Drosophila melanogaster: one gene and its partners. The protein of the gene in region 1 purifies or fractionates together with the protein of each later gene. This does not show direct contact. Each region holds a gene or a part of one and is shown on either strand. Other genes may lie near its edges.

Evidence for each region.
Region 2: the proteins of smo (region 1) and Smurf purify together in Drosophila melanogaster (affinity purification with western blotting; 2 studies listed by BioGRID). This does not show direct contact.
Region 3: the proteins of smo (region 1) and Usp8 purify together in Drosophila melanogaster (affinity purification with western blotting, with the first as the bait; 4 studies listed by BioGRID). This does not show direct contact.
Region 4: the proteins of smo (region 1) and krz purify together in Drosophila melanogaster (affinity purification with western blotting, with the first as the bait; 4 studies listed by BioGRID). This does not show direct contact.

What each region holds. Positions count from the first base shown.
Region 1 is NT_033779.5:274,828-283,474, forward strand, and holds smo (smoothened), read left to right. Parts: upstream 1-2,754; 5' UTR 2,755-2,998; coding exon 2,999-3,036; exon of another isoform or gene 3,037-3,102; coding exon 3,103-3,496; intron 3,497-3,815; coding exon 3,816-4,297; intron 4,298-4,357; coding exon 4,358-4,978; intron 4,979-5,042; coding exon 5,043-5,213; intron 5,214-5,282; coding exon 5,283-6,687; 3' UTR 6,688-7,340; downstream 7,341-8,647. Other genes in the region: CG17078 (uncharacterized protein), read right to left, coding at 120-424, 492-1,670, 1,912-2,076, 2,132-2,315; CG11601 (uncharacterized protein), read right to left, coding at 7,345-7,678, 7,827-8,320. UniProt on the Drosophila melanogaster protein: Segment polarity protein required for correct patterning of every segment. G protein-coupled receptor which associates with the patched protein (ptc) to transduce the hedgehog (hh) signal through the activation of an inhibitory G-protein.
Region 2 is NT_033778.4:17,589,968-17,596,485, forward strand, and holds the start of Smurf (SMAD specific E3 ubiquitin protein ligase), read left to right. Parts: upstream 1-2,823; 5' UTR 2,824-3,345; intron 3,346-3,500; 5' UTR 3,501-3,882; coding exon 3,883-3,937; intron 3,938-3,998; coding exon 3,999-4,037; intron 4,038-5,299; exon of another isoform or gene 5,300-5,316; coding exon of another isoform or gene 5,317-6,518. Other genes in the region: RhoGAP54D (Rho GTPase activating protein at 54D), read right to left, coding at 1-173, 239-387; icln, read left to right, coding at 1,066-1,184, 1,271-1,799; CG30105 (uncharacterized protein), read right to left, coding at 1,919-1,996, 2,061-2,450; ND-51L1 (NADH dehydrogenase (ubiquinone) 51 kDa subunit-like 1), read left to right, coding at 5,317-6,518. UniProt on the Drosophila melanogaster protein: E3 ubiquitin-protein ligase which accepts ubiquitin from an E2 ubiquitin-conjugating enzyme in the form of a thioester and then directly transfers the ubiquitin to targeted substrates.
Region 3 is NT_033777.3:21,132,586-21,138,714, forward strand, and holds Usp8 (ubiquitin specific protease 8), read left to right. Parts: upstream 1-1,676; 5' UTR 1,677-1,825; coding exon 1,826-1,920; intron 1,921-1,983; coding exon 1,984-2,472; intron 2,473-2,531; coding exon 2,532-2,694; intron 2,695-2,749; coding exon 2,750-3,232; intron 3,233-3,287; coding exon 3,288-3,731; intron 3,732-3,896; exon of another isoform or gene 3,897-3,974; coding exon of another isoform or gene 3,975-4,061; intron 4,062-4,129; coding exon 4,130-4,360; intron 4,361-4,423; coding exon 4,424-4,878; intron 4,879-4,934; coding exon 4,935-5,265; 3' UTR 5,266-5,629; downstream 5,630-6,129. Other genes in the region: Trm7-34 (tRNA methyltransferase 7-34), read right to left, coding at 168-359, 415-1,064, 1,120-1,240.
Region 4 is NT_033777.3:32,045,145-32,054,763, reverse strand, and holds krz (kurtz), read left to right. Parts: upstream 1-2,770; 5' UTR 2,771-2,924; coding exon 2,925-3,495; intron 3,496-4,894; coding exon 4,895-5,736; 3' UTR 5,737-9,450; downstream 9,451-9,619. Other genes in the region: mod (modulo), read right to left, coding at 1-340, 407-1,141, 1,209-1,518, 1,787-2,029.

The DNA of each region.
Region 1 (8,647 bases):
TCGGCGAAAATAAATAAACTAAACAGAGTTCGGCTCCTCCTCCGTTGGGAGGAGCAAGAGGAGATTGAAGTGGCGCTCGCTGCGCCATGGTTCCAGCCAAAAATCGTCCAAATGAAATCTCAGCCATGTACATTGGCAAGCTTGGCGATGAGGTGGTTAAACTTGCCGTTGGTGGTCACAGACTTTTTGGCCGATCGCACTTGTTCCGGCGAGTGCTGCAGAAAGTAAACGACGATAAATTCGAGTGTTTGATTGGCTTCCTTAGGGTACATCATGTTAAAGGTATAGTAGTAGCAGATTAACTGGGCCAGAATGTCCGGCAGGTCTTCGTCTTTGGCGGCGAATGTGGCCATTATCTGGCCTTCAATGTAGACCTTCGCCTCCATTTGCGATTCCACGCCGTCGGCCGTTGTTATGGGTGAATCTGTGGGAAGATAAATATTTTAAAAGTATTTAAACACTTTTAGTGATATTAATTTTTGTGTACTTACTGACTAGAGCCACCCAGGGGGCGTTTGTGGGATTCGTGCTTTGCAGTGATTCCTTGCTAAGGGAACTGTTCTCGAGGTGCTTGAAAATGTAGTCGGGATCCTCATTAAAATAGTACGCTATGCCACGCAGGAAATTAGCGTTGGTCTCGTCCAAAGAGCTGATCTTCTTGTTCTTTGAACTCTTAAAGAACCTGAAAAAGCGATCCTTTTCGGTAGCCAAGCGCTTCTCTAGAGCCCGGGGATCGATGGACATAAGCAGCTCAAAGTGCTGGTACAGCACAGCCTTGTCAAAAATATATGGCCAATTGTCCTTAATGGCCGTTATATCTGGGATCTTTTCGCTGTTATTAAAAAAGGAGCGCTGCAACGGAAAGCACTCTTTCATATATTCGATTATGACGGACTGTTCCAGTGGGGAACTGCCTCGGTAGCTGGAGATTAGTAACTCCTTTTTGTGCTCCAGATCCCTGTTAAGAGCCAGCGATTTTGCATCACCATTGGAAGCACCACCTCCGAATTTTCGTTTTTTATTAGGGATGTGGATCTCAAAGGTTCCCGAGCTGCCGCGTTTCTGGGGTTTGTTTAGGGCATTGTTACGGTTGATCATCTTGGATATGAGCGATTGCGGAGTGGTGGCTATAAACTGTCCCTCGCGGTCTTTTTCGAGTAAGGAGTCGGGGTACTTTTCAGCCGCCTGTTGGGCGACCTGCCGGAAAATCCGTATGGGAATGTGGGCGGATATTTCACGGAGAGCCTCCACCAAAACATTCGCAAGTGTATTCAACCGCTTGCCCAAACTCCCCTTTCCCTTTAGTAGTTTCATTATGTCCCCAGGCACCTTGCTCCAGGGTATCGAGAACTCCTTGAATAGAGCAGAACTCTTTGCACTTGATGGCGTTACGCTGGACAGTGACATGGTTTCGTCATTAGAGACCGTCGAATCGTTCGGGTTCGACACAATACTGTTGTTGGCATAGAAGCTGGGATCCACCGAGCTGCCGGCGCGTTCGGATCGGTTGAGGGGCGATGGCGGAGGAAGCACCACATACTCCTCCGACTCGGCGAGGAGCATCAACAGAATCTTCTCCTTGGCAGCGAACAAGAGCACGTCGTCCTCGCAGATCTCGCAGCCGTTGCTCTCCAGGACAATTGTGTTGCCGCACAGGCCGTATTTGTGAGCTACCGAATACAAATATATTATTGATATAAATTAAATAAAATATGTACAATTATTTAATTTCTATCCTAGATAAATATATCACCCATTGATCAAATTTATATTTTTAAATGCAGAAATGCTCTAAGCTTAAACCCAATAGATTCTTATTAAAGACTGTCTACTGGTTAATAACTTCCAACTGGGCAACGTTCATTCGGAATACTGGATGAATAGATACCCAATTCGTCGGACGTTCCTTACCTTTGTCGATTACATCCTTTCGAGTGGGCAACGACATGAAGGTCTTCTTGATCTTGCGATCGGCGCTGCATATGGTAATCAATACTTTGTCAGCCAGCTCGGTCTTCGGCTTGCCCTCGTCGTCGTCCTTCTGGCTAGCATCAGTGGAATGTGTCGGCTCTACGGCTAAAAGGTAAACGTTAACCAGGAAACTAGACTAGCTTCGAGCAAGTTTGCTAACCGGGGGCTTTCTCACCGCAGCTCTCTGGCTTTTTCGCTCCTCCTGTTTGTACACCATTTTCGATTGTTGTTGCCTTTGCGAGTGCGACCGGCGCTTGGTTTGCATTTTGATTCGGACTGATCGGCGCCTGCTGGGTGCTATGATCGCCGCCGGAACTGGCGGGCGGTGCGGGGGCAACGTCCATGGCTTCTATTTGCGTTTGCGCGACTCCAACCAAGCCCTGTTATCCGTGTTTTTGGACCGTGCCGTGAAATAATATTGCAGAATAGGGATGTAAAAACTACATCGATGCTTGGTGCGCTACTATCGCGGTGTTATCGATACTCCGCACCCAGTGTGACCGTCGAGCGCATGGCATAAATAAATAAGCCAGCGGCCAGCATTGCCATATAGTCAAAATGTTGCGGGGAACACCTTTTTCGTTTGCTGATGCATTTCTACATATGATCATATTTCTTATTTTATGTTGATGTTATCTTATGTTACGATCGAACAAAATAAATCCGATTTGTTTGCATATCATTCGACTTGTTGCAGCTATGACCGATAATAACCGATGCCGACCGATAACATGCAAATCTCGCTGACCGATAACATGGGTATATTTAAACTGGCCCTGAATGGTCGCACATTTGTTGCTTCAGCTTCACGTTGAGTCGCGTTTATTTTTGTTTTCCTCCTTGGTTCTTGTTTTTTTTTTCTCTTTTTTAAAAACACTGCAATCCTTCAAAGGGAACAATTAAACCAGGATATCCCGAGTCCAACGAAAGCGCCTTCACGATGCACTGACGAACCGCTGAGCAAGAAACGGGCATTCAGCCCATTAAAATTCACACAAGGCAGCTATTTAATGATTTTTATAAGCGGATGCAGTACTTAAACTTTCCGCGCATGCCAAACATTATGTGAGTGACTCGCCTCTGGCAAATGGTGTGGGCAATTAAAATAACTTGGTTATTTACAAACCGCAGGATGTTCCTGGAGGTTGCGATCTTATGCCTGTGGGTGGTCGCAGACGCATCGGCCAGTTCGGCCAAGTTCGGCAGCACAACGCCCGCAAGTGCGCAGCAGTCGGATGTGGAACTGGAGCCCATCAATGGGACTCTCAATTACCGACTGTACGCCAAGAAGGGCAGGGACGACAAACCCTGGTTTGATGGCCTAGACAGCAGGCACATCCAGTGTGTCCGACGTGCCCGTTGCTACCCCACCTCGAACGCAACCAACACCTGTTTCGGCTCAAAATTGCCCTATGAGCTGAGCAGCCTAGATCTCACCGACTTCCACACCGAAAAGGAGCTGAACGATAAGCTGAACGACTACTATGCCCTGAAGCACGTGCCCAAATGTTGGGCAGCTATACAGGTGAGGAATCTTAATAACATCTAATGTACCTAATGATTTCAAAAGGTGGGGCCGAGTCTGTATGAAAATACAGATTGTCGCATTATTTTCTGATAAGGAGGTGCATTAGAAACAAGTTAAGCGCACAACTGTGATTACTTAATTACGCTTTGTGTTCAAGCAGTGAAAGTAATATGTGAATTGCTTTATCTTGGGAAGATTCAGATATATATACATATTCAGTTGTGGCTCAAGGTTTTCTGTAGATATTATAGTATTTCAAATCCATTTCTTCAATATTCCGGATTAGCTCAACACACCCATTTTTACATGTTTATAGCCCTTTTTGTGCGCCGTCTTTAAGCCGAAGTGTGAAAAAATCAACGGCGAGGACATGGTCTACCTGCCATCTTACGAGATGTGCCGAATTACCATGGAACCCTGTCGCATTTTGTACAACACGACGTTTTTCCCAAAATTCCTTCGCTGCAACGAAACACTCTTTCCGACGAAATGCACAAACGGAGCACGAGGAATGAAATTCAACGGAACTGGCCAGTGTTTAAGTCCTTTGGTTCCGACAGATACGTCAGCCAGCTATTATCCTGGCATCGAGGGCTGCGGCGTGCGATGCAAGGATCCACTCTATACCGATGATGAGCATCGGCAGATCCACAAACTGATCGGATGGGCTGGCAGCATATGTCTTCTGTCTAACCTTTTCGTGGTGTCCACCTTCTTCATCGACTGGAAGAATGCCAACAAGTATCCGGCAGTAATTGTGTTCTACATAAATCTTTGCTTTCTAATTGCTTGCGTCGGGTAAGTTTTGAGCACTATTTTGCATTTGTATTCTTAATCAACCACGTATTTACTATGCAGCTGGTTGCTTCAGTTTACTTCTGGCTCGCGAGAGGACATAGTATGTCGTAAGGATGGAACACTTCGCCACTCAGAGCCTACAGCCGGTGAAAATCTTTCTTGCATAGTGATCTTTGTGCTGGTCTATTATTTTCTCACCGCTGGAATGGTTTGGTTTGTGTTCCTCACCTACGCCTGGCATTGGAGGGCCATGGGCCACGTCCAAGATCGGATAGATAAGAAAGGTTCCTACTTTCACCTCGTGGCGTGGTCACTACCCCTTGTGCTTACCATTACCACGATGGCTTTCAGTGAGGTGGATGGAAATAGTATTGTGGGCATCTGCTTCGTAGGCTATATCAATCATTCTATGAGGGCAGGACTACTTCTTGGTCCGCTCTGCGGGGTCATCCTCATTGGTGGATACTTCATCACCCGCGGCATGGTGATGCTTTTTGGACTGAAACACTTCGCTAATGACATTAAATCAACTTCGGCGAGCAACAAAATCCATTTGATCATCATGCGCATGGGAGTCTGTGCTCTGCTCACTTTAGTTTTCATACTAGTGGCCATTGCGTGCCACGTTACGGAGTTTAGGCATGCAGACGAATGGGCCCAGAGCTTCAGACAGTTTATAATGTAAGTGTAAATACTCGTTTATAACTTTTTCCATACGCCTCAACTAGATAATTCTTTTGTTTAGCTGCAAAATTTCTTCAGTTTTTGAAGAAAAGAGTTCCTGTCGAATTGAAAACCGACCTAGTGTTGGCGTTCTTCAATTGCATTTGCTGTGTCTATTTAGCTCTGGAATCGTAATGTCCACCTGGTGCTGGACACCTTCTTCAATTGAGACTTGGAAGCGTTATATAAGGAAGTATGTTTTACCATCCTACCAAAAGTTGCATTAAAGTTATCTGTACTATCGATTTTATAACCTTTGCAGAAAGTGTGGCAAAGAGGTGGTCGAAGAAGTGAAAATGCCGAAGCACAAGGTCATTGCCCAGACATGGGCCAAGCGCAAGGATTTCGAGGACAAGGGCAGGCTCTCCATAACGCTCTACAACACCCACACAGATCCCGTGGGGCTCAACTTCGATGTGAACGATCTGAACTCTTCTGAGACGAATGACATCTCATCAACTTGGGCTGCATACCTCCCGCAGTGCGTAAAACGTCGCATGGCTTTGACGGGAGCAGCGACAGGTAACTCGTCAAGCCATGGACCGCGAAAAAATTCATTGGATTCCGAGATAAGTGTGAGTGTTCGACATGTTTCCGTTGAATCCCGCAGAAATTCGGTGGACTCGCAGGTATCAGTGAAAATAGCTGAAATGAAGACCAAAGTGGCGTCCAGATCAAGGGGAAAACACGGAGGCTCTTCCAGCAACAGAAGAACCCAAAGGAGAAGGGATTATATAGCAGCTGCCACTGGAAAAAGCAGTAGGAGAAGGGAAAGCAGTACTTCAGTGGAGTCGCAGGTCATCGCGCTCAAGAAAACGACCTATCCCAATGCTAGTCACAAAGTGGGCGTGTTTGCTCATCACAGCTCCAAGAAACAACACAATTACACCAGCTCCATGAAGCGAAGGACTGCTAATGCCGGATTGGATCCCTCTATTCTTAATGAATTCCTGCAGAAAAATGGCGATTTTATATTCCCATTCCTCCAAAATCAAGATATGAGCTCTAGTTCGGAGGAGGATAATTCCAGAGCATCCCAAAAGATTCAGGATCTTAACGTGGTTGTAAAGCAGCAGGAAATAAGTGAGGATGATCACGACGGAATAAAGATTGAAGAACTGCCAAATAGCAAACAGGTGGCATTGGAGAACTTTCTTAAAAACATAAAAAAATCTAATGAATCCAATTCTAACCGACATTCCCGAAATTCCGCAAGAAGTCAGTCAAAAAAGTCCCAAAAGAGACATCTCAAGAACCCTGCTGCTGATCTAGATTTCAGGAAGGACTGTGTAAAGTATCGGTCTAATGACTCACTTAGCTGCTCCTCTGAAGAGCTGGATGTGGCTTTGGACGTAGGAAGCCTTCTTAACAGCTCTTTTTCTGGAATATCCATGGGCAAACCACATAGTAGAAACAGCAAAACCAGCTGCGATGTGGGCATACAGGCTAATCCTTTCGAGCTAGTTCCCAGTTACGGAGAAGACGAACTGCAGCAGGCCATGCGACTCCTAAACGCAGCCAGCAGACAAAGAACTGAAGCAGCCAATGAGGATTTCGGAGGAACGGAGCTGCAGGGCTTGTTGGGTCATTCCCATCGGCATCAAAGGGAGCCCACGTTTATGAGCGAGTCGGACAAACTCAAAATGTTATTGCTGCCTTCAAAATAGCAAGACTAAATAAGCAATTGATGCATTTACTTAAGGTTCAAAAACTCTTACAATATTGTAGTTTTTGTTCTAAGAAATCAAATTGTTAGCGCTGAAAATAATCGTACAATCTTATCTATTTTACGAAATCGTAATATTGTTATGTTCACTGTTCAACGATTTATAAGAATATATCGCTTCACTAGAATTGGAAACCCAAATGATATTTAAAACAAACAAATACGAAATTGTAGTACACAAGCCAGAGCAGTTTACATGCGATGAACATTTAGATTCTTCTTAATCGATTACTGGAACAGACTGAGCGAAACTAGAACTACGAATTACGAATACTCATAGTCATTAGGCTGCAACTTTATTTTACAGATTCATCACCCCATCTAGCTTGTAAGCATTCGAATCTCTGTGTACGTTTGTGAATGACTGTTTCCTTAATCCTGGTACTCACGCCAAAGTAAATGCCAAAGAGGATAATAATTTATTTTCATTATTTTTCTTTGCCGTGGGTACAGGACTTTAGATTGTAGATTATAGATTTAAGTACGATATAAATAAGCCTCTTGGGCACACAAATCGTACCTCAGAAAGTGCCTTCAAGTTTACAAAATTATACATAATAATTTGTGTAACTAATAAACGATTTTAAATCCTCGAGTCCTAGCCTTGCTTTAATTTCTGTTGATTTAGGAGCTTAAACTCCGGACCCCAAACGACGTTGTTGGCGAACTCCCCGAGCAGATAGCAAACCAGGTTGAACCCCACAAGTAGTGCCAAGAACACGTAGCGCAGGTATGCGGGCAGCACTTCCAGAATGGGATACACCCACTCGCCACTGAAGTAGCGAACAATGTGCAGCCAGATGATGTAAAGCAGGATGAAGGAGACGTTGCCCGTGATGCCTGCCAATCGACTCGGATAGCGGCGGAAGCAGGTAAACAGGTCCATAATGGCCAAAAGGGCCACATTCGTGTGTACCACGTGATTCAACCAGCTGCAAATATTGAGAAACACAGGTAAATCAAAACTCGCCTCGCCTGATGAACAGAAAGTTTAGACAGGCTCGAAACAAAAGAGACTCCAGCAGACTAACATTGTGCATTGTACGCAAGTTAAACCGGCGGAAAAACATAAACACTTGCCTGGGGAAAATCGCATCCAGCGCTGAGGGAAAGATGAGCTCACGGTCCCACACGTAGATGACCCAAAACGAGAGGCAGACATTGTGGGCGACAGGAAAGGCAAAGGCGGCGAACACATAGTCCCTCACCGATCGCAACATGGATTTTGAATCCCCGGAGACATTGTTATCGCCGAAGAGATCGTTCAGCAGAGCCAATGAGTGGTAGATGGCCTGTAGAATGACGTCCAAGAAGGTAAGGTACTTGAACTTGCCGCCCCACCGCGCCTTCAGTTCATCCTCGTCTAGCAAATCCGTGGGCCAATGCACCCGGAAGTAGTGAAAGTATATCCCATACGAAAACTGCGCTGCCGCCAGGAGATGGACCAGGAATCTCAGGTATTTGAAGGCACCGCTCGTATAGGCATCGTTGCAAGTGTTCAACTGGGCTTTAGTGGCCTCGACAGCTTCCTTGGCGGCGTTGAACTCGCGCACCTGCTTCTTGCTCTTGCCCATTTCCTCCAGAAAAGGTGCAAAGGGCACCGCACGCTGAGCAAAACAAAACAAATAAAGCTAGCCAACAGCTGATTAGGGCGCAACACACGTCGAGTTTCATTCCAGCAAGGAGGCGTTTTTAAGCTAGAACTAGCTTTTTAAAGCCAAATCGATATGATAGCGCCACTTGACGTTTCTCTGATCTTGAAAAGCAGTTTATTCCAAGCTTCCCACCTTAAAACAGTTTTCGCAGCTGATGAAGAGTTTAATCGCTTTATTATGGTACTAGAATTGAATAACAGTGGTATTCAAAGATGGCGTTGAATCAGTGTGCTTGATATGAGAAGT
Region 2 (6,518 bases), on another chromosome or scaffold:
TCTGCTGTTGCAGTGTCTCTGTGGGACTATTACCCACGGATTTACTGGCGGAGCCGGCGGCACAGGATGTGGCAGCTGCTCCATGTCCCAAACGATGTTTTTTAGACAGGCGGTTCCACTTCTTCAGCTTGCCCTTGTCCTCGTAGACAATCTCGTGACAGGGGAGATCGAATCTACATATATAAGGGAATCGTTAGTAATGTGGTGAGCAGCCATATACCAAGGTGATCCATCTTACTCATCCGTATTGAGCTCCAATTCAAACGATAGGTGCATGCGCACCAAGGATTTGTATTTTTCGTAATTGCAGCGGCGCATGCGCGTGGCCAGATCGCGATCCCTGAAGTCATTTAGGTTCGCATGGTCCGTATCCATCGTTGCTTCCATGCAATCTGTGTGGTTTATCCGTCGGGACTATCGAGTAAACACTGTATATATCCACGAACAACGACAACAACAACAATAATAACGACTGCCAACGGATAAGGAAAATAACAACAACTTGGAAGGACAATGACAAGTTCGTTTCGTTAACCCGAAGGCTACTTCTTTCACTTCTGTCCGTAATGGGTTCGTTTTGAGGAGTGTATTATTGTCGAAGGTTTGATGCGCGAGCATATAACTTCGCATTTATCACATTTATCGCAAATTTTAACAGCTAAAATTGAAAATTGAACGAGACGCTACCTAACCAGTGTGACCGCGGCTAGAGCGCCAAATTAAGACCTCTTTGGGAGAAAATCGTACGCGCTGATCTGGTAGCACAATTACGTACTACGTTTTTATCTTTTTTTGACAAAATTGTTCCATTCTTTATATATCTATTTCTAAATTCAACAGTGGTAAGAAAGAAGTTGTCCTCCGAGAACACCTGTTCTGATGATTCTACATTCAAAGAAGGAAAATACATCAGAGCGTTGCCAGAGTCCAGCTGTCTCTCCTAGTTATTGCCACCCTTGCCAGACTTTCAAAAGGGGGACGAAAAAATGGTACTCAACACTGCATTTTTGCAAGTTTTGTTGTTTGATCGCGCTTTTTACAATTAATTTAACAAGCTGTATTAAAATGGTTCTTATTATGCGTGTTTCCCCGCCGGAACATGGTCTGTTGTATACGGCAAACAATATCAAGCTGAAACTAGGCGACAAAGTGGTGGGCGAAGGCACAGTTTACATTGCCCAAAAGTGAGCGCTTTAGAGCTTTGCCGGTGTCTGGTATTGCTCTCTATTTATTAAAATCTTTTAAAGTAACTGTTATTTCTTGTTCCTAGCACGCTATCCTGGCAGCCAACTGAATTGGCGGAGGGTATATCCATTGAGTGGAAGCAGGTTAGCCTGCACGGTATCTCTTCGAATCCGAGAAAGTGCATCTACTTCATGCTGGACCACAAAGTCGAGTGGAACGGCGTCTACGGAGATCCTCCCCAGCAGGCAGTCAATGGTCGGAATGGCGGTGGTTCGGAAGCGGAAGTGGACGAGGGAAATGGCAGCGATGAGCACGATGAGGACGACAATTTCGAGGATGCCGTAGACGAGCAATTTGGAGAGGTCACAGAGTGCTGGCTTATGCCGGAGGACATTCACACCGTAGACACTATGTACAGTGCCATGACGACTTGCCAGGCCCTACATCCTGATTCGGCAAACAGTGATTCGGAAGACAGCGATCCTATGCAGGATGCCGGTGGCTTAGAGGATGAGGCTATGGAGGAGGATGATGCATTGACGCTTGGGCGCAACGGCGTGCAGAATCTCAGTTTGGACGACGACGAAGAGCGATTCGAGGACGCTGATGAGTGAAGCATAACCTATTTAAACATCAATACCACGTTTTATACCAGATAAAATGTACGATATATATGTATTGGATTAGATTTTGGAGTAATAAATAGAACGCGGTAAGCGCGATTAAAACAAAACTACGTGCTTTCCTTGACGTTTTCCTTATTACGAGCGATTTCTTTCTCTAAATCCTCTTCGCTAATGGGCTGCGAGAGCTAAATAAATAAAATGTGGTATTTATTAGGTGTACTTCGAGAATATATAGTGGTATATACATACAGCTTGAGCAACATCCGGCAGAGGAAGGGCCTGTCGGTAGGGATCGCCATTGGACGGCACTTTGTCGTAGTTCCAGTAAGTAAAATCTTGAAATACTCCAGTTAGCCGCAACTTTCGGTCGGAGGTATCGCTGATGGGCTTCTCTGTTTCTTGCAGAACTAATCCGCAGTATCCTTCGGGCACTTTCAACTTCTCTCCCATTAAAGGAAATCCGCGCAAGGCGTTCGTCAGGATTCCTGTGCCGAATTCGGTTGCTTCACGTGTGTAGTTGTTGAAGTAATTTTTTACATTCGCTTCCCCATCGCCGTCTATTTTGGCCGGCAAGTAGTGCACGTCTAAATTCTTACCCTTGGCAAAGTTCTTACCATTAAAATCTAGAGTAATTGACATTGTTACTTTTTGCGCAAAATAAAAGGTAAACAAAAACTCCGCCAAAATGTGTTTGTTTGTTTGCGCTTAAGAAGGATGGTTTGAGTAGCAGCTAAACTCATCGATTTACAACCGATAGCCAATAGTAGTTTAATTCGATAGTAACAATATAACAAAAACATACAATTATATTGTAAATCAAAGCTTGTAGATGGTAACGAGATCACTGTTTACCATCACTGAACAAGTTTTCATGCTGTTTTAAATTTAGTATCTGACTACATACGTATTATATATATATATTTGACAATATGCGATGTTTTCCAAGAATATTAGCACTAAAAAATCGATAGTATAAGAGAGTAATCGATTTTTCACTCAGCACTAGACTTTGTGCCACCACTAATAAAAATGGCGTTCGAAGTTGTAGTTAAATTTTTATGGGAATCCGTAAAACAATAGCGCGTGAGGCCGCGGCAGCATAATTCGCGCACTATCAAGCGTTCCGTGGACGAGCAACTGTGTGGGCGTGCGTTGTTCGCAGAGTTTTCGTCCGATTTTTAGTGAACTAGAACAATACAAGTGTGCCTCCTTTGATTATTATTGCAAATTTTAGTACCACACACACTCGCGCACACATCGATAGCGAAGGAAATACTAGTGCGAGTAAATAGTGTGGCACCCATACTGGAGCAGCGACTAAATTAAAGTTAATTAAACACACAGTGGTATTTCATTTAATGCAATTTGTGAAATAATAGAGTGGCAGAGGGAGAGAGACAGATCGAACCCCGCTCCCGCTCTCCCCTGCAGCATGCGTGAACTGCGTCCGTGTGTGTGTGCGTGAGAGAGTGAGCGAGACATGTGCGTGTGAGGTGCAGCAGCAACAACAACAACACCAGCAAAACAATTTCGGGTGAGTTTTTCGTGAATATTTTGCCTACCTGAACGATTTCCTACCTACGCCCTCGCTTTTGGGTTGGGTTTTTGCACTTGGGGGGAAAATACACACATTATCTCTAACGAACTTACTAATAATACCCATTTCCATTTGTTATCTTTGGATTGCAGCCTATAAAAAAAGCAAATCGGTGTTATTATTTATATACAAATATATCTATGTGCGTGTGCCATGACACACAGCAACAAACGCAAAAACTACAACAATTGCAACCGTCAAGGCTACCGCCACAGCAGCAGCAGCAACAATAACAACTGCAGTTACCTTCGGCAATGAAATTACCTCTCACCGCCCTCACCTGCTCCTCCTACACCTCCTTTGCTTCCTCTCCTCCACCTTCTACTTGCACTTCTTCTTCTTCGCTCTCCGTTCGGCGCTTTAACGACAACAACAACTACAACAACATGCCCGCGACATATAAATAATCAATACACAAAGTAAATCCATTTATTTTTATACAAATCAAACAATATCAATTAAAAGTCGAAAATTATGAATAAATTGGATTACCCACGTCGCAATGGTACACACAAAGTTCGAATAACGAGTAAGTCTGCTGATAAAAACAATTGTTAATAAAACCCACTAATATATCGCTTTACTTGCAGTATTGTGTGCTAGAAACTTGGCCCGCAAGGATTTATTTCGTAAGTATTTTAATATTAATTGGATATATCTTAGCATCTAATTTCCTTAGTGCCTATCACCTATCCGTCAAATAGGACGGTCTAAATTAGTTCCTAAAGCAGAACTTCCGGTCATCAAAAGCATAAAAGTTTTACCCTGTACTTCTTAATCGTTAGTGTTATAAAATATTAAATGTAACAGCAAAAAATTCCTTAAAACTATTTACCCAGCATGCCTTTGGCGTAATCACTTATTTTCGTAATTTGCTCACATGTTTGGGCTAATTTCTTGACTCACTTTTGGTTAGTTACGGGAAATTTGGAGCAGTTGGCATTCGCCAGACCCAGCAAGCTTTGTTTTCACGTTTGGTTTTCTTTTCGAAAACCATCAATTACGCACCTGTTTAGCCGTCCAATCGAAACACACATTGTGGTAAATTAAAGTTTTGTTTTATTTGCGGCGCTTGTGGTGCTGCTGTTTCCTCTTCTTCACATTCATCTATGCATATAAGGTATCGCTAAATTTAGCACTTCCTTTCTTGTCTACTTTCATTTTTATACAAATTGCGGAAAAGCCCCCTCCCCCCATCGCGCCCATCAAGTCGAGTGGGTGAGTGCGAGTGGTGCGCCATATCTGAGCTCTTTTCCCATATTTTGTTAGATATAACAAAAGTGATTATTACTAATTTGCTTTCATTGCGGCTCACTCACTCGCTCGTCCACAAATACAATCGCAATATTTTTTCTTTCTGTGTATTTGTGATTTACTATTCGCTTTTTCCACTTCTTGTCCATTTTTGTACACTTGGTTGCACTTAAATCACGCGCCACGCATTGTTCAATGTGCTACTAAAAAAAAAAAAAAAACATTCGATGTTCCTTATCCGTGAGATTCCAATAGGGGGATATTTGGGTTTCCGAAAATGGGTCTGTGGCCGCTGGTGTCACTTCAAATGAATTGTTTATTAATGCTAATGCTTGAATTCCGTGGTTGACTACAGAATATGGCGCATTCATTTGCTATTTTCCCTCTACTACCATATACATTGTACACTAGTAGTTGGTTCTTCATATTTTATCGATTCTTTGTGATAAGATTTTAGTTGAACCCAGCGGGGCTTACGGTCATTATAGGGAAAATCCATAATGGGACTTTCCGATATTCGTTATTGTGAGTAATGTAAACTTTTTTAACATATCAAGTTCGAAAAATGTGGAAGTAGTATGCTTTGAATTTTCCTTTGATTCAACACACTTGCCAAAGAGTTCAGTTAATCAGATAAAGAATATAGACGAAAGCATGATATCGTTTCTGTTAAAACGCCGAGCTTGTGATGCTTACAAGATTTCATTAGGACTAACTCGTGCATATAGAGCCTTAACAGAAGTAAAAAGCCTTCAAAATGCCTTACGACCTGGTAATAAAACTGGAAATATCAAGCTGGTAAACATATACCGAACTTCTAGCATACAAAATGTGAAGAAGAACCAACTAAGTGACGCTGAAAGCGTTATTCCACTCTTATTGCGGCCAGCCAAACCTGTGCTGATTATGAGAGAAGGATCTCAAACCGATTGTAACGACGATTTGCTGTCCTCTGAGCAAAGAGCCAAAAAAAGGGAAAGCATAAAAAAATCCGAAGTAGATTGCCCAAAATTTCCAGCTGAGAAACTTCCGCCCACAACGAAATTTCCTATTAATGAAAATGCCAAGAAGGTTTTAGATCCAGCCGACCAAAGAGAACTCGAGGCCAATTTGTTAAAAAGGCTTAAAGATATGGCTAAAAGAAAGAAATCTCGACTAGATGAGAAAGTTGACGAGCTGAGGGATAATTTTATAGGCTGGAATTATGCTGCTCTACAAGGAAGAACTATTGTGACTGTGGATGCCAAGGAATCAACTCCACCGAAAGGATCTGGGCCGGCCACCCCGGCAGGCTCTCCTCCACCTAAAAATGTTTCTGCACCGCCGACGGGCGGTTCTCCGCCTGCCAAAAGCGGCGCTCCACCACCCCCAAAGGGGCCACCGCCCGGAACTCCACCACCGCAGACGAAAACTACTTTTGGACCACTTGCTGATGCTGATCGAATCTTTACCAATTTATACGGACGGCACGATTGGCGATTGAAGGCAGCAATGAAGCGCGGTGACTGGTACAAGACGAAGGAGATCATAGCCAAGGGTGACAAGTGGATAGTCAACGAGATTAAGACATCTGGACTGCGAGGACGCGGTGGCGCCGGATTTCCCAGTGGACTTAAGTGGTCATTTATGCATAAACCGCCTGATGGAAGACCCAAGTTTCTGGTGGTCAATGCGGATGAAGGAGAGCCCGGTACTTGCAAGGATCGTGAGATAATGCGCCATGATCCACACAAACTGGTAGAGGGATGTCTCATTGCTGGACGGGCTATGGGTGCCAACACTGGTTTTATTTACATTCGCGGAGAGTTTTACAACGAAGCTTGCAATCTTCAGTATGCCATTATTGAGGCCTATAA
Region 3 (6,129 bases), on another chromosome or scaffold:
GTTAACCGCTCGGCGTAAGGATAAGAGTTAAGTTTATATTGTTATGTATCGGAATAATAAAAATTGAACGCGGTGCTTGTGGCGCGAGCAACAAAGTTTTGATACATTTTGAGATGCACCAGAATTTACACTCATATTCATAACTTTTCATTTTTTAAAGCTTTTATTTACGTTACACAGGCACCTAACTTCTCAGACTTATTCTCATCATTCTCTAGCCATTTCTTCAACATTTCCTCATCGTGAATAACGCGAATGCCTTCATATTTTATGTTCACTTGGCTCGTTTTCTGCAGAATGTCCTGATAGGCGGCCGTCAAGGGTTGCTGCACTGGCTCTTTATACACATAGTTCTCGCCCTAAAACAAAACATTTTAGTGGTTTAAACCAAACGAAGATATAGTATTAACATACCAAATCGTATGTGCGATCCGAGTCCAACTCGCCCTTGTAGGCAACAAAGGGAACTTGAACCACGGGCGGGCTCTCCTTCTTTCTGCCCACCCACGACTCGGGTTGATCGTGCCATTCGGTCGTCAGGTTGCAAGGCTTGTAGCCATCGGGCAGACAAAACTCTCGGGCCACCACGAAGGCTTCAATGCTGGAGTTGCGCGAGGCGGAGGGCTTGAACACGCATACGTTCTTAAAGAACCGCTTGAGCTGAGTGTACAACCGACTGGTCCTGTCTGCCCGGTAGATCTTGGACACGAAGGAGCCTCCCTCTTCCAGTATGAAGGTGGATATGCTGAGGGCGGAGAGAAGTAGTTCGCCCTGAACGTACGAGTCAAAGTCGTGCATTCCAGTAGAATCGGGAGCGCCATCGCTAACAACAATCTGTGCCTTCTCGCCGCCAAAGAACTCAATTATGGCCTCGGCTGTCGACTCCTTGCTGATGTCCGCCCGCAGTTGTTTGACTCCTTCGATCGGAGCCATTCCCTGCAGGTCTACGGCGATGATCTTTACCTTTTCCCGTTCCTCTGGCGGCAGAGGCTCGTACAAGCGTTTGGCCAGCACCTGTGACCAGCTGCCAGGAGCGGCGCAAAGGTCCACGGCTCGGGTGAGACCTGAAATAAGTGGACAATTAGAATCGCTCCGAAAAACACGCGGTTGGATCTGCACCTTCTAGCAACTGAAAGGTCTCATCCGCCTGGAGCAGTTTGAAAGCACTTCGTGCACGCCATCCCTGCTCCTTGGCCAGGCGGTAGAATATGTCTCGTTTATCCTTCGAAGTCCTGCCCATTTAAAAATAATAAAAACAAAAGGGTATCAGCTGTGATACGACATCTACAGTGCTGTCGTTTTAGCCGTTTTCCCTTCAACTTTGGGAGTTTATTGGTATTAAAAACATTAAAAAGTTTGCAAGTGTGAGCTCGAATTTATAGTTTTAAAATATATATCATTCATTTTGTGTTAAAATATAATTTTATATTTAAATGGTAGATTAGGAAAAAGAATCAATTTTGTTTCCAAATCCATAGAAATAGCTACAAAATGTAGTTTAGCTTTAATCTTCATAATATTGAGTTACATATTCATTATATTTGAATTTGTTTATTTGAAATAAAACACGTACAGCTAAAATACATATCTAGTTGGATTTTCAATATTAATAGCTAAATGGCTAAATTTGCACAATCTAAATTTGCACTTCTGACAGCGCCATCCTATTTCTTTGTTATCGATAAATTTCATGCAAAATAACAAATGATTGTGTTGTTGCAGCCCAGCCCGCAGATTGAGAAATTCCTGCTATGAGAACAGGAAAATCGGCGAGATCCCGATTCCCAAATTCAACGTAGCCCGCCCCGACAACAAAAAACGAATAATGGCCAAGTTGAAGAAACTGCATATGAGCTCCAACCTTGATGACCTGGAGAAGATGTCCATCATTCCGGATCTGCGCAGCAAGGGCATGAAAATGTAAGTGGACACCGCGATTTGGTGCTGATGCGGCTGTTTTGATTTACCTGGCATTCTTCGCAGCCTACTGAACACCGCCCGCAAACTGTACATGACCGCCGAGGAGTACAGACTGGATGGCGACGAGGAACTGGCCTACATCACCTACATGAAGTACTTCAATATGCTGACCGCAATTCACAAAAAATCCGATTACCCCAGCCACAAGACGACGGTGCGCCAGATGCTGGGCGACACCGAGTCGAATCGCCGCATTATGGACACGCTGGAGGAGATTATCAACTCTCTGCGGCATCGTTATGCTCAGCAGCACCAAGCGCCGGAACCAATTGCTCCCGACCTGGTTAGCAATGGGCGTGCGGGTGTGGACTCGCCGATAACACAGCCAACGCAGTACGCCCGACTTGGGCTGATAACCTGTCAGGATCTGTATCGGCGCATGCAGGAGAAATCGGTCCTAGTTATGGACTGTCGCCCAAGCGCCGACTACGAGGCCTCCCACCTCACGTACTACTGTGCATTTAATGTGCCCGAGGAGTTGATAACGCCAGGGTGAGTTGTCCATTATAATAATCTCGCTATTTGGATACTAACTTATTGGATTTACACAGAATGTCGGCTGGCAGATTGCAGGCTCGTCTTAGCAGCAGCGCCAAGGCGTCGTGGGCATCGCGTTCCGTCAAGGATTCGGTGGTTCTTATGGACTGGAACACCAAAGATGCCCAACCGGCGACCAACACAGCCATTTCAACCCTTCTGGACATCCTGAAGAACGTGAGTATGGGTGGTATTTAGCCATAGATTACATATAATCATTATTTTCTGGTAGTGGGATCCGGATGTGACGTATCGCGCACCCATTCAAATTGTCGAGGGCGGTTATGAGTACTTCATTATGATGTACCCGACCCATTGCACTAATCCCAGTGTGCAGGCGCCGCAGCAGAACAACAACGACATTGAGACCATCGATGATATCGAGTATCCCTCAATCCACGACATCACCATGAAGGAGGATATTAGTGCGAAGGACTTCAGACCGCGTCCAGACTTCAATCGGGCCAACAAGCCAGCGGCCACTCGCGTTAATGAACAGGGAATTTCCCGTCCTTCTCCGCCGGCTAAGCCCATTGCTGAGATCATGCGTGATCAGGCCGAGTTTTTGCAGCGCGCAGAGCAGAACGATGAGCAGTTGGAGAAGGCCTCAAAAATGTGGAAGCGTCAAGCAGCAGAGGGCGATGGTTTGAATGCTACCGAGGACCAGGAGTTGCACTTCAGGATCCTACAGTTGGAGAGCAAGGCCCAGGACTATGTAAGATCTATAAATTACCTTATAAGGTTCGATTAATTGTTCGTTTGTGTCGTAGATCGTGGAAAACAATCGTCTGCGAGAAGAACTAAGTCGCATACAAGAGCTACACAATGTTACGCAGCAGTTGTCGCAAAAGGAGGTCGAGGCAACGAGGAATATAGAATCCAAGATCCGCGAACGACAGCGCTTGGACGAGCAGCATGAACTTGAACGTCAAGAGCGGGAGCGCCTTTTGGCGATCGCTCGCGAGACAAAAAAGCATTACAAGTCACCAACACCTTCGGGCCCGCCTTCGCCGGGCAGGAACTTGGAGGACGTACATGTCGTGTCAGACAGCCTGGAATCCCTGCTCCAGTTGACTGGCGATCCGGATCCGACAATTGCGCCAAACAAGGCGGAAATACCAACATTCGATCGGGCGATGAAACCGCAGCCGAGGAATGTGGAGAGGACATCGCAACGCGTTCGTGATTTCTCGCCTGTCATTGGTCAGAATGTGGTAAGTATTGCTTGGGTAGTGGTGGTTGACTCACTGGCCACATAAATATAGCCGCGACACGAGTCAAATCAATAGCCAGCGGGTCACGTTTTGAAGACACCCGCCCAGACGTGCGCCGTTCTTGGTGCGCTTTCTACCCCCACTCTCAGTCGCTCGACGTCCGCACTCAAAGCATGTTCAAACCAAAGAAACGTACAATTGCCATACTGTTAAGCAGGAATAGCATTATACAGGATTCCGCGAATGATTTGTGTAGCGGGCGTGAGGCTCCAGCTGCCAACAGCTCCGCCCACCTACAGCATTTATAGCTCCATCTTTCCGCTGAGACGAGTAATAGCTATAGATTTTATTTTCCTCTATCTCCGAATAGTTAACTATATCCTTGGATAACATTTCAGGGTCGTGGACTGACTGGACTGAAGAATCTGGGCAACACCTGCTATATGAACAGCATACTGCAGTGCCTGAGCAACACGCCTCAGTTGACCGAGTACTGCATTTCGGACAAATACAAGAATTACATCAGCAGAAGCAACAAGACTAATGGCCAGGTGATCGAAGAGGTGGCTGCACTCATCAAGGAGCTCTGGAATGGACAGTACAAGTGTGTGGCCAGCCGAGATTTGAGGGTATGCAACTGAAAAAAAAAAAACACCCAAATTTCTTTCTAAACTAAACATACTTCATTGCAGTACGTTGTGGGCCAGTACCAGAAGATCTTCCGCGGCGTTGACCAGCAGGACTCACACGAATTCCTCACCATCCTGATGGACTGGCTGCACTCGGATCTCCAGACCCTACATGTGCCCCGTCAGCGGGAGATGATCAGTGCGTCGGAAAAGGCTTGGCTGGAATTTACCAAGGCGAAGGAGAGCATGATTCTGCATTTATTCTATGGCCAAATGAAGAGCACTGTGAAATGTGTGGCCTGCCACAAGGAGTCCGCCACGTACGAGAGTTTTTCTAATCTCAGCCTGGAGCTGCCGCCAAACTCGAATGTATGTCAGCTGAACCAGTGCATGGACATGTACTTCAGTGGAGAAAGGATCCATGGCTGGAATTGTCCTAGTTGTAAAACGAAAAGAGATGCCATCAAGAAGCTGGATATATCGAAGCTGCCACCTGTGCTGGTGGTGCATCTTAAGCGGTAAGTGATGCTAACACTATGCTATGCTTGTTTATAATTTCTTAAATCCCGCATAGCTTCTATGCGGATCCCAGTAACTCTGGCTCGTACATGAAGAAGCAGAACTACTTGCGCTTCCCGCTCGAGAACTTGGACATGAATCCCTACATAGCACGGGCGGAATCGCGGGCGGTAACACCTAAGACCTACCAGCTGTACGCCGTATCCAATCACTACGGCACCATGGAAGGCGGGCACTACACGGCATTTTGCAAGAGCGCCAACTACGGAAAATGGTTCAAGTTCGACGATCAGGTCGTCTCGGCGTTGGACTCCTCTAACGTGGTTTCTAGCGCTGCATACATTCTTTTCTACACCTGGCTGCCACCCATGCAGGTGCCTCTGTAGACGCTTCGCTCGGTTTCCTTTCGGTTTTTACCCCTTTCGTTTTAATTGTTTTTTGTTTTTCTCTCATATTATAGCTTTTAAGGTCTAGTCGCCACACCCTTTTATCATTTACAAATTACCGCTTAACTGTTAACTGCTATTTAAGAGGATAATCGCTTGTTTGTTGTTGTCTAGGCTCTTAGAACAGTATTACGCGTGGGCGTATTTTCAATGGGTGCAGGCTGCATTCACTAAAACCAAGAACTTCAAGTGCATTACCAGTGTAACAAAGAGAAGCCCGCATATACGCCTGTGTATGCGGGACTATAGTTTATTGTATTTTGCAAATATATTTTAAAACCAAATAAACGAAATTCAATTTCTGATACAAAGAATTTCTTTGAAAGAATCATGCGTAGGGTTTTTAGAAAACAAATTGGGGAGAGCGGGTATTTTACACTCAACAAATAATATAAAAAAGGGGGTGAAAGTTATTTTACCATTGCAAAGAAAAATTCAGCTAATTTTCGCGCCGAAAAGTTCAATTCGAGATATCCGATAAGTAAATATATTCACTTCCAACTAACGGTCACACTGTAAAACGCCCCCGCTCTTTAGCAAATGCAGTGTTGCCAACTCTTGCTTTCAATAAATAGCTAGTTAGTTGATTTATCAATTATTACATTTATAGTGTTTTATGTATGCCCTATTTTTCATTTATAAAGAGTTATGATTTAAACTTATTAAATAAGATGATGAAATTGATGATTCAAAAGAAGAACATAGCTATAACAGTGCACCTAAAAAATGGCCAAAAATACAGGTGCTTGCAATCACTTAATCTAATCTGGCTAGTAGCCAGCTAAAGCGGCAGCACCGACCACG
Region 4 (9,619 bases), on another chromosome or scaffold:
TAAAATCTTGCCCTTTTAACAAACGATTTACCACCATTCTCTTGTGCCGGGCGCTTGTTAAATGGTTTTTTACCAAAGTTTGGCTTAGTGTCCTTTTGGAACTTCCGCGGGGCGCGGGTCTGACCAATAGCTAAGCGTTTCTTTAACAATCTATGCTTCAGCAGAGAGTTTGGCTCAATAAATATAGGGGCGTTGTTTACAATGCTTTCATTAGCCAAGAAAGATTTGCAGAAACCCTCATCGTCCTTGAACTTTACTACCGCTTTTTGGCCCAACATTATGATGCTTTCGATTTCGCCGCTATCGTTAAACACTTTCCGCAGGTCGGCTTCAGTAGCATCTACAACGAAATTTTACATGATAATGATTAATAATTTTAAACAATTTTACGAAACGGGTAACCCACCTGAAGTCAAGTTCGTCACAAGAATGGCCCTCCCCGAGGTGCTGCGTTCGAATCGGTGAAGCTTCCACTCAAACTTATTAACAGTCTTTCCGTCGAGTTGTGCTAAAGCCTTCGTGGCGGCATCCGACTGCTTGAACGTGACAAAAGCTAAAACTGCCTTGCTGCACACAACGTCGATTTCTTCAACATCACCAAATTTTTTGAATATCTTTTCTAGAGCGTCGGAGCTGTAAGACTCGTGTTTGCCCACATTTTCGACAACCAAGGTAAGTTCACTGGTACGTGAAATCGATTCTTGTGAGATCCGACGAACCGTTATAAAGCGAGAAAACAGCTCAGTGCTATGCAGTTTAAGAGCCTTCGGTATGTCATCGACCGACGCCAAACGTACAAAAGCTCTGGGCATGAGGCGGTTACTGGATATAGTCACCGCCTCCACGGGAGCTACCTTCTCAAAAAAGGTTTTTAAGTCGTCCTTGGTAATATTAGGTCCAATCAGGCCAACCACCACCGTGCGTTCGTTGTTCTCTTCCTTATTTCTCGGTTGGGACACAGACAAAACATTGTCTCCAAGGGTTAACGCTTTAGGCTTAGCCTGCAGAACAGCTTCTGCTCCAGTTGACGTATCAAAGGCAATGAGAACTGATTTATTGCCATTCAAATTAGTGAAACGCTGCAAAGCGGAAAGTCGTCCGAACTTGGCGAACAATGCGACCAAGTCCTTGTGGAGATACTCTATGTGGAACAAATATACTAAGTTTAAATATACTTGAAAAATGAAATAATAAACCAGTTACTTTACCGTTTGGTAGGTTTGTGACAAAAACGATCTGGTTTTTTGGCGTTCCCAGCGGAATCTTGCCAACCTTTACTTTTGGAATTCCTCTATTTTCTTCGGACTTTTCAGAGTTGGCTTTTTCTGATTTCTTGGAAACTGGCTTCTCTACAGGCGCTTCTTCATCATCATCGGATTCATCTACCTCATCCGCGCCTTCACTTTTGGAAACCTCACCAGGCTCCAACTCATCGTCATCATCATCTTCCTCATCGTCACTATTGTACTCTTCATCTTCCTCAGCCTCGTCGTCAATTAAGCCCGCTGCCTCTTCGGTCTGAAAAGTAGACAATTTTCTTATAACCGCTGATGGGAGAGCACCAATAAAGACAATTTTTTTTTTATCGATATATGAACCGAGTCGGTATAAAACCAGAGGATCGTGGGTTATGTGCACTCGTCTTATAATTATAAAATCTTTACAACCACGTGGCAAAGAAAACGTAAAATGGATTCTTATCCATGCAGATCTATATATACGTGCATACTATGCATGTAATGTTAGCCATATCCATTCAGAAGACCACGTTTTTTTTATAGCTTACCTCAAAGTCGCTGTCGTCCCCTGGCTGCTCGTCATTTTGCTCCTCCACATCAGACTCGTCCTCTTCACTGAACTGCGGCACTTCTTTAACAGGCTGTTTTCTGGATTTTTTGGAAGGCGATTGGGGGACTACTGTCTCCTCTTCCTGTACCTTTGTGGACTTGGTTACCCGTTTGGCCAAAGGCTTTTCCTCTCCATTCGTAGCTTTTTTTCCTTTGACGGTGACGGCTTTCTTTTGGGCCATTTTGACAGCTTTTAGAGGTTTTCTGGGCAAAATTAGCAAAGTCAAGTTTGGACTGAACAACGCGTGGTTTCGTTCAATAAAATGCACGTGGAAAAGAGGGACAGAACAGTGTGACCGTTGTGCTCTATCGGTGCTAAGGCTGATTAAATAAAGTATTTTAGAGACTTCAATCTCATTTTTATAGCTCTATTCCACTACTAAATATGGTTTAAAGTCCGTTCATGCACATGTATACATATAAAAATAATAAAAGCCTTTAAAAAATAAAATAAATATTAAACAGTTTATATAAAGTATTTATTTAAGACTTAGGATACAATCTATGATTAGATATTTACCAACGGTCTGATTTTACATGTGTTTATACATTCCAAATGGTAAGTTTCCTCAATCATCAGCTATGAATCATCTGTTTCTAAAGGAATTTATAATATATATATTATATTTCATTAAAAAGCCAAGTCAACCTGCAGTTGCATTTTATCTTAGTAGGAAACTTAATGTTAATTCAAGCAATTGTTAATGGTATTGAAAGAAAAATTATTAAAAGTCACTTACTATGGGCCAGGGCACACTTAGGAAATATAAATAGGTGCCAAAAATGCAAAATAAATATTAATTATAGGCTGCGATTATGGTACGACCAAACATATATCGGTTTGTTCGCACTGAATTGAAATACCAGAGAAGTACATAATTTGTTAGTATGTAATATTCCCTGGTATTTTTCCAATGACTGTCAAGCAGTGCTGGTAAATGGCGGAACAAGTATACACATAAAAAATTAAATTGCAGCACAAGTCCCGCAACGCACACATATATTTATTTAACGGAGTTCCAATTAAGCAGGAACAGCAGAAAAGCAGAATAACAAGCATAACCGCCAAATAACATAATGAACGGTGGTGGTGGAGGAAGTGGAGGAGCAAATGTGAGCAATGGCTCCAGCACCAATGTAACAGCTGCCGGGAGCACTGGGGGCGGAAGCGCAGGCGACGAGACTGGTGGAGATGCCAGCTCCAGACGCCAGGCGACTCGGGTGTTTAAGAAGAGCTCCTCCAACGGCAAGATAACAGTTTACCTTGGCAAACGGGACTTCGTCGACCATGTCACGCACGTGGATCCCATTGACGGTGTTGTCTTCATTGATCCAGAGTACGTAAAGGACCGTAAGGTTTTTGGCCAGGTGCTTGCCGCCTTTCGGTACGGACGTGAAGACCTAGATGTTTTGGGATTAACGTTCCGTAAGGACCTGTATCTGGCGCATGAGCAGATCTATCCGCCCATGCAGCTGGACCGCCCGATGACCCGGCTTCAGGAAAGGTTAATTAAAAAGCTGGGGCCGAACGCCCATCCGTTTTATTTTGAGGTTCCGCCCTATTGCCCAGCCTCTGTGTCCTTGCAGCCGGCTCCTGGAGATGTGGGCAAGTCTTGCGGAGTAGACTACGAGCTGAAGGCCTTTGTGGGTGAGTCTTTGTGGGTCTGATCTTGTGGGTGTGTCCGTATACGGTGGTCAGTCAAAGTCAAAATCATTGATATTTCGCAGTGTGGCACATACCGTGTTTATTATATATGTTGCAATACATTAAATTTACAAATTTACAAATTTTTCTTTTTTCTTTACAAATTTTTCTTTTACCTTAGAGCAGTTAAATTGCGGGTACTATTGTTTCTGAGAATAAAATAATTTATTAAGAATATGGTTACAGTAGCAAAACTAGCTTTGTTCTTTTCTATAGAAGTTAGACTGTAAATTTCTTATATGTGTGGTTTTGTGTAAGTTAGCGCGTGCATCACGCGGTTGGGAACACAGGGTTAATCAATCCAACTACGTCGGGCTGATGACGCAGCGTTCACCTAATTGAAATTCGACACTTCTAATTGGAATTTGAATCAACCGAAGTTGCAGCGCAGTTAATGCTGTTGTTCGCCTTAACCAGGCGCCGCAGTTGGCGGTCTGACGATTTGTGTGCCAACAGCAAAGATCTTACATAGTTTCAAAATGTTTATTTGTTTAGTTTCTAATCTGTATTTAATAATTAAAAAAAGGTTTAAAGAATTTGTGCTTTATTTTATTAGTAGAAAGGTTTTTGGTTTCTGTAAATTTTAAATTTTTCATATTTTCGTACGATCGCCGAGCTCCACTCGCATATATATTATGTGCCCGTGGCACCCCCTTAATACATTCTCTGTTCAATAAATATTATTACCTATTGCCCTATTTTGTTTACACATTTTTGTGCTTTTATAGTTTCTGTTGGAATTTTATTATTATTCAGCAGCCAAATTGTTTACTGTTATAAACAGAGATTAATAAAATAGCAGCAATTGGCGTGTTGTTGGGTAAAAGAGTTTATAACAAGAACTTAATATTTATTTTTTCTGTATATAAGCCCAAATTCAATTTAAGAATAAAAACAACAATGTTGGAATTTGTACAGTTGGAAGAAACGATTTCTCAGTGCTTCTCTGCTTCCCCTCATGACAATTGAGTCAGCATTTTTATTTACTTTGCGTCTGTTCAATTGTGTATCTAATGTTCCTAGCTTTTATGTTTTTGGGATAACCAATTATATATATTTATGCGTATTTTTAAAGCAATGCTATTGATGATCAATTAAATGAATGTATATGCATATATATGAATAATATATATATATATATATATATATATATATATCCATATGTAAATGCCAGTAATTGTCGGCTTGTGATTAAACATCGTGGAATTCTATACATGATAGACTCAACATCAACGACAAATTTTGTAACGAATCGGACTACTGACACACCCGAGCGTCATGGGTTTTCTTCAACAAACATACATACATTGATGCCATTATTCATAATGTTTATCACTAATAGGTGAGAACGTGGAGGACAAACCCCACAAGCGGAACTCGGTGCGACTAACTATTCGCAAAGTCATGTACGCACCATCCAAAGTCGGTGAGCAGCCATCGATCGAAGTAAGCAAGGAGTTTATGATGAAGCCAAACAAGATCCATTTGGAAGCTACTTTGGACAAGGAGTTATACCACCACGGCGAAAAAATATCGGTCAACGTTCATGTGGCCAACAACTCAAATCGGACGGTAAAAAAGATTAAGGTATGTGTCCGGCAGTTTGCGGATATTTGTCTCTTTTCGACGGCGCAATATAAATCTGTAGTGGCAGAAATCGAGTCAGAAGACGGATGTCAAGTGGCTCCGGGATTTACACTCTCGAAGGTATTTGAGTTGTGCCCCCTATTGGCAAATAATAAGGATAAATGGGGCCTTGCTTTGGACGGGCAGCTAAAGCATGAGGACACCAATTTGGCGTCTAGCACTCTCATTACCAATCCTGCTCAGCGTGAGAGTCTCGGTATTATGGTCCACTATAAGGTGAAGGTGAAGTTGCTGATTAGCTCGCCACTTCTAAATGGTGACCTCGTAGCTGAGCTGCCATTCACACTAATGCACCCTAAGCCCGAGGAGGAAGAGCATCCACTGTTAGGGGAGCGATCGCCACGGGCTAGTTTAGCAGGCGGGGGTCTGCCGTTAGTGAGCATGAGTGACGGAGAAACTGAATCGGCTACTGGCGGGCAGGATGTGCCAACGACAACAAATCTCATTCAGCTGGACGACGACGAGGCACAAGATGACGACATAATTTTTGAGGACTTTGCCCGTCTGCGTCTAAAAGGCGCTGAAACAGAGGCCTAGATGAAAAAGGAATAGATCGAACTATTAATTCATATGAAGAAAATACTACTATTATTTTCGGCATTTGTATAATATAAAAAGTATGAGAAAATTGGGCAACCTCTAAATGTAAAGTTTTATACCAATAGCCATGGTAAACAGTTGGATTTAAGCTATTTTATATGTGTAGGCCATATATTGTAGTATCTATAGGGTTTAAGCTGAAAGTGTACGAATTTTAAAATGTGAAATTGATAAACCAGTCAACACACCAGATCTACACAAAATGCCCACGCATAAGTTAACTACACGAGCGAAGTATTTCGGCCACACCTGTAAAAGTTGAAAGAATTCACAAAATTTGATATGTAAATGTTGTATAATATTTTTTATTAAATGCCCTCTCCCATTATAAAAACGCATAAAACAAAAATTCATTTACAAATTCTAATGATCTTTTTATTATGCCTCTTCTTTTTGGGACATTGTTATTGCTTTGCAATGCATTGATAATTTGTTCGCAACTAATTTAAAATAAGTTTTTTGAGTAGAGTACGTTACTAAAAATGTTTCTAGATTTCTTTTCTGCAATTAAAAAGAAATGTTTTAGGATGGCTTGAGGTTTGGATGTTGTTTTATAAATATTCTTCCAATATTTCAAAAATAATTTGTTTTCAAAATTTATTACTAAAAAATAATAATATTAGAAATATCCATACCCATACCTTGAAACAATGATTTGTTATTTGTCATTAAAGTCGTGCATGCAAAAAAACTATTCTTGAAAAAGCTTTAAAATAGTTTTTAAATTTAATTTTAGCACAAATTTAATTTAATTTAAGACGGCATTCTTGATTCATTACAAACTTTGTAACCCTAGAAGCGAGTCCGACCCTATAAGGTACATTTATTATTTGTTAGGATACCCAACCAAGTCGATCTGACCATTTCCGTCTGTCTGTATAAACGCTGTCATGGCCATTTGTTACAGAAGATTGCCATGACTACTCACACGTAGACAGTTTTTTAAAAGGTTTGAAATTTCTTTATAGCTCTATCACTAGTTTGGGAACGAGAAAATGATACTCTGGTATATCAACTATACCGTTCTCTCTTGTAATTGAAAGTGTAATGGCGAAATGTGGTCTTAGACCCAGTTAAGCCACTTTTAATTTTCTCCACAAAAAATTAAAACAAATAATTTAAACGACAACAAAGCAATTAACTAATGGTGGATTTGGATTAAAAACTCCAGCTCTTTGCTGATAAAACCGCTTTGGCTAAAGCTTACATGAAGTGGACCTTCACAGGCGGAAATAGCTAACATAGACAATTTTCAAACACCTTTGGGAAATACCTTTCGTGTGGGAAATTTTTACGTTGAACACCAATTTCTTTCTTACTTTAATTAACAATGTCCGAATCGAAATTCGCCAACGAAAAATACTACACGAGTAATGCATTCGTAAAACTTATTTAGAGATACAAATTAAAAACGTGATCAGAACATTTCCAAATGTAAACCAAACAAGAGATGACGAAATATGATTTCTTTTATAAAGCACTTTAAAAATACGAATGATTGAAATTGGGGCTTTTAAATTGCGAACTTGAGCTGAAATTAAATTTTATTGCTTTAGGAAATGCTAATACTGTCAAAATTTAAAACATTTTAATAATTTTATTTTTTTATAGGACGTGTAAATGTGAAATTAGTATTAGCTTGATGTATAGGTTCGTACTTTTATTTTTAAAGTGAACAATATTGGAGAAATTATGAATAATAATAAATTAATATTAAGCGCATCACAAACTTGTTAAATGTATACAAATATAATACAACAAATTCAAAAATGTTGGAGCAATTAATATTAAAAGGCATAAATTGAAATGAGAACAGCAGAGGTGTGTGAGTATTATAAATTTATAAAGAAAAAATTAGGGCATAACTTCAAGTGTGAAGCATTTAAAAAGCAAATAATATATGTAAGCTTGTGCCCCAAACCGAATGAGCACTTGAAGAGTTGTAATGATCTTTTCTGCAGTTGAACCACCTGAACAAATACATTTTAGAACGAGCACAACAACTTTTTAACACAAATCGTTGATTTTTTAAAAGAGTCGTCTTGCTTTAGTCATAGTAGAATTATTATCAAATGATTTACCAAACTATTTAAGAATTAAAAATAACAATTTACAGTTAGTTTCCAATAAAGATAATAAATCAAAGCAGATATTGCAGAAATCGCAGAAACTATCGGTCTAGCGATATTATCGTGTTCAACGGGTCCAACTGCAATATGAGCAACATCACTTTTGTACTGTGAGTTACATGTTCTTATTTGTTAAAATGGTGTGATTTTTAAGAAGCTAAGATAACTTTTAAGATAAGTTGTAATGGTTTTGATAATACCTTTTAAAAAATAGCATATATATGTATATGTGTTGCAATTTAAGTGGATGAAACCTTTCATAGCCTGCACAATAAATAGAATATATATATATATATATGGGTAGCGGGTTAAGGTGATAAAACCTTTTAAAGCTGGCGCAAGAAATATTAAAAATATGTCACTTTTATTTTCTAAAAAACGTTTTGGTCTGGATATGCGTTGTATTCAATTTGATAAATATTTGGTTTATTGTGTGTATACAACTAGGCGACTAAATATTTGCCACCGTAGCCAACGCATCAAGCGAGCGAACCAAACAGAATATGAAATACAATACCTACCTACTCATGACTAATGTATAAAAAATATAAACGAAAGTGAAAGATTGAATGTTGTATGTTTAGTGTTGAAAAAAGGATGCAAAGAAATATGGAGAAAGAACATTTTTGACTGACACGTTGGAGCTCCATAAGAGAGGAAAAAAGAGTGGACTTTTGGAAAAGACTATGTTTGAAAAGCTTTAATATTGTATAATTAACAATGCATTGTATATACCACAATAATACATGGTAGCCGAAATCCTTATAAAAACTTTAATTTTTATTTTAGAAAATAATATCAATATAAATTCTCATGCCATGATAATCCCTACCCTCCAACGTGTCCATCAAATAATTAACATTTTACATACGAGCCTTATGCGAACGAAACCATAAATAACTAATGCATTTGCATTGAAATTGCCAACGTATTTTAAAATTCCAAATATCATTACTATACCCGTTACTCGTAAAGTCAATGGTCCTACCAGATTTGTTTGACCCTTAAGTCCTGTCTGTCTGTTAAAAGTTAACTTTAGGAGCTACAGATTTGGGGCTTACATGTGGATTCTAGTAACGCCTAAGCAAATTTTAACCGTTATCCGTGCCGACTCTTAAGCCTAAAATTCCTACCAGGTTTTTTATGATTTAATAGTTTTATAAATATTTTCGGCTTAATTGCCTTAACCTTATTTAAAAAGTTATAGGGCCATACCATTTACGGTTTAAGTTGTCCATGACTTCAGTGTCTAGTATACAATTACACTATACACTATAAGGTATGTAAAAGAAAGTACAGTAACGGGTATCTGATAGTTGATGATTTAGCGATTCTTTTTAATTTTTATATATTTGTCAGTATTGTTGCACCTCTTAGGTAGTAATTAATGATTGCATTTTTAATGCACGCATTGGAACGAGATAATTGCAAGTTTTCTGAAAAAGAGTAAATAATATTTCTGTATAATGTTAATGTGAATTATTGAATAAATTTGCAATAATAAAATCGACAAAAATTTCATAAATGGCAGTATAAATTATTTCTAGAACATTACACATTTTATGGAAATAAGGGGGTTATAATTTCATGAGTTGATTGGCTAGCGATTTTGAAAGTAACACATTTTGAGAGAATTCGGTGAGGTTTCAGGGATACTGTCTCTGACCTCGCAGTTATTCATTTCCGATACG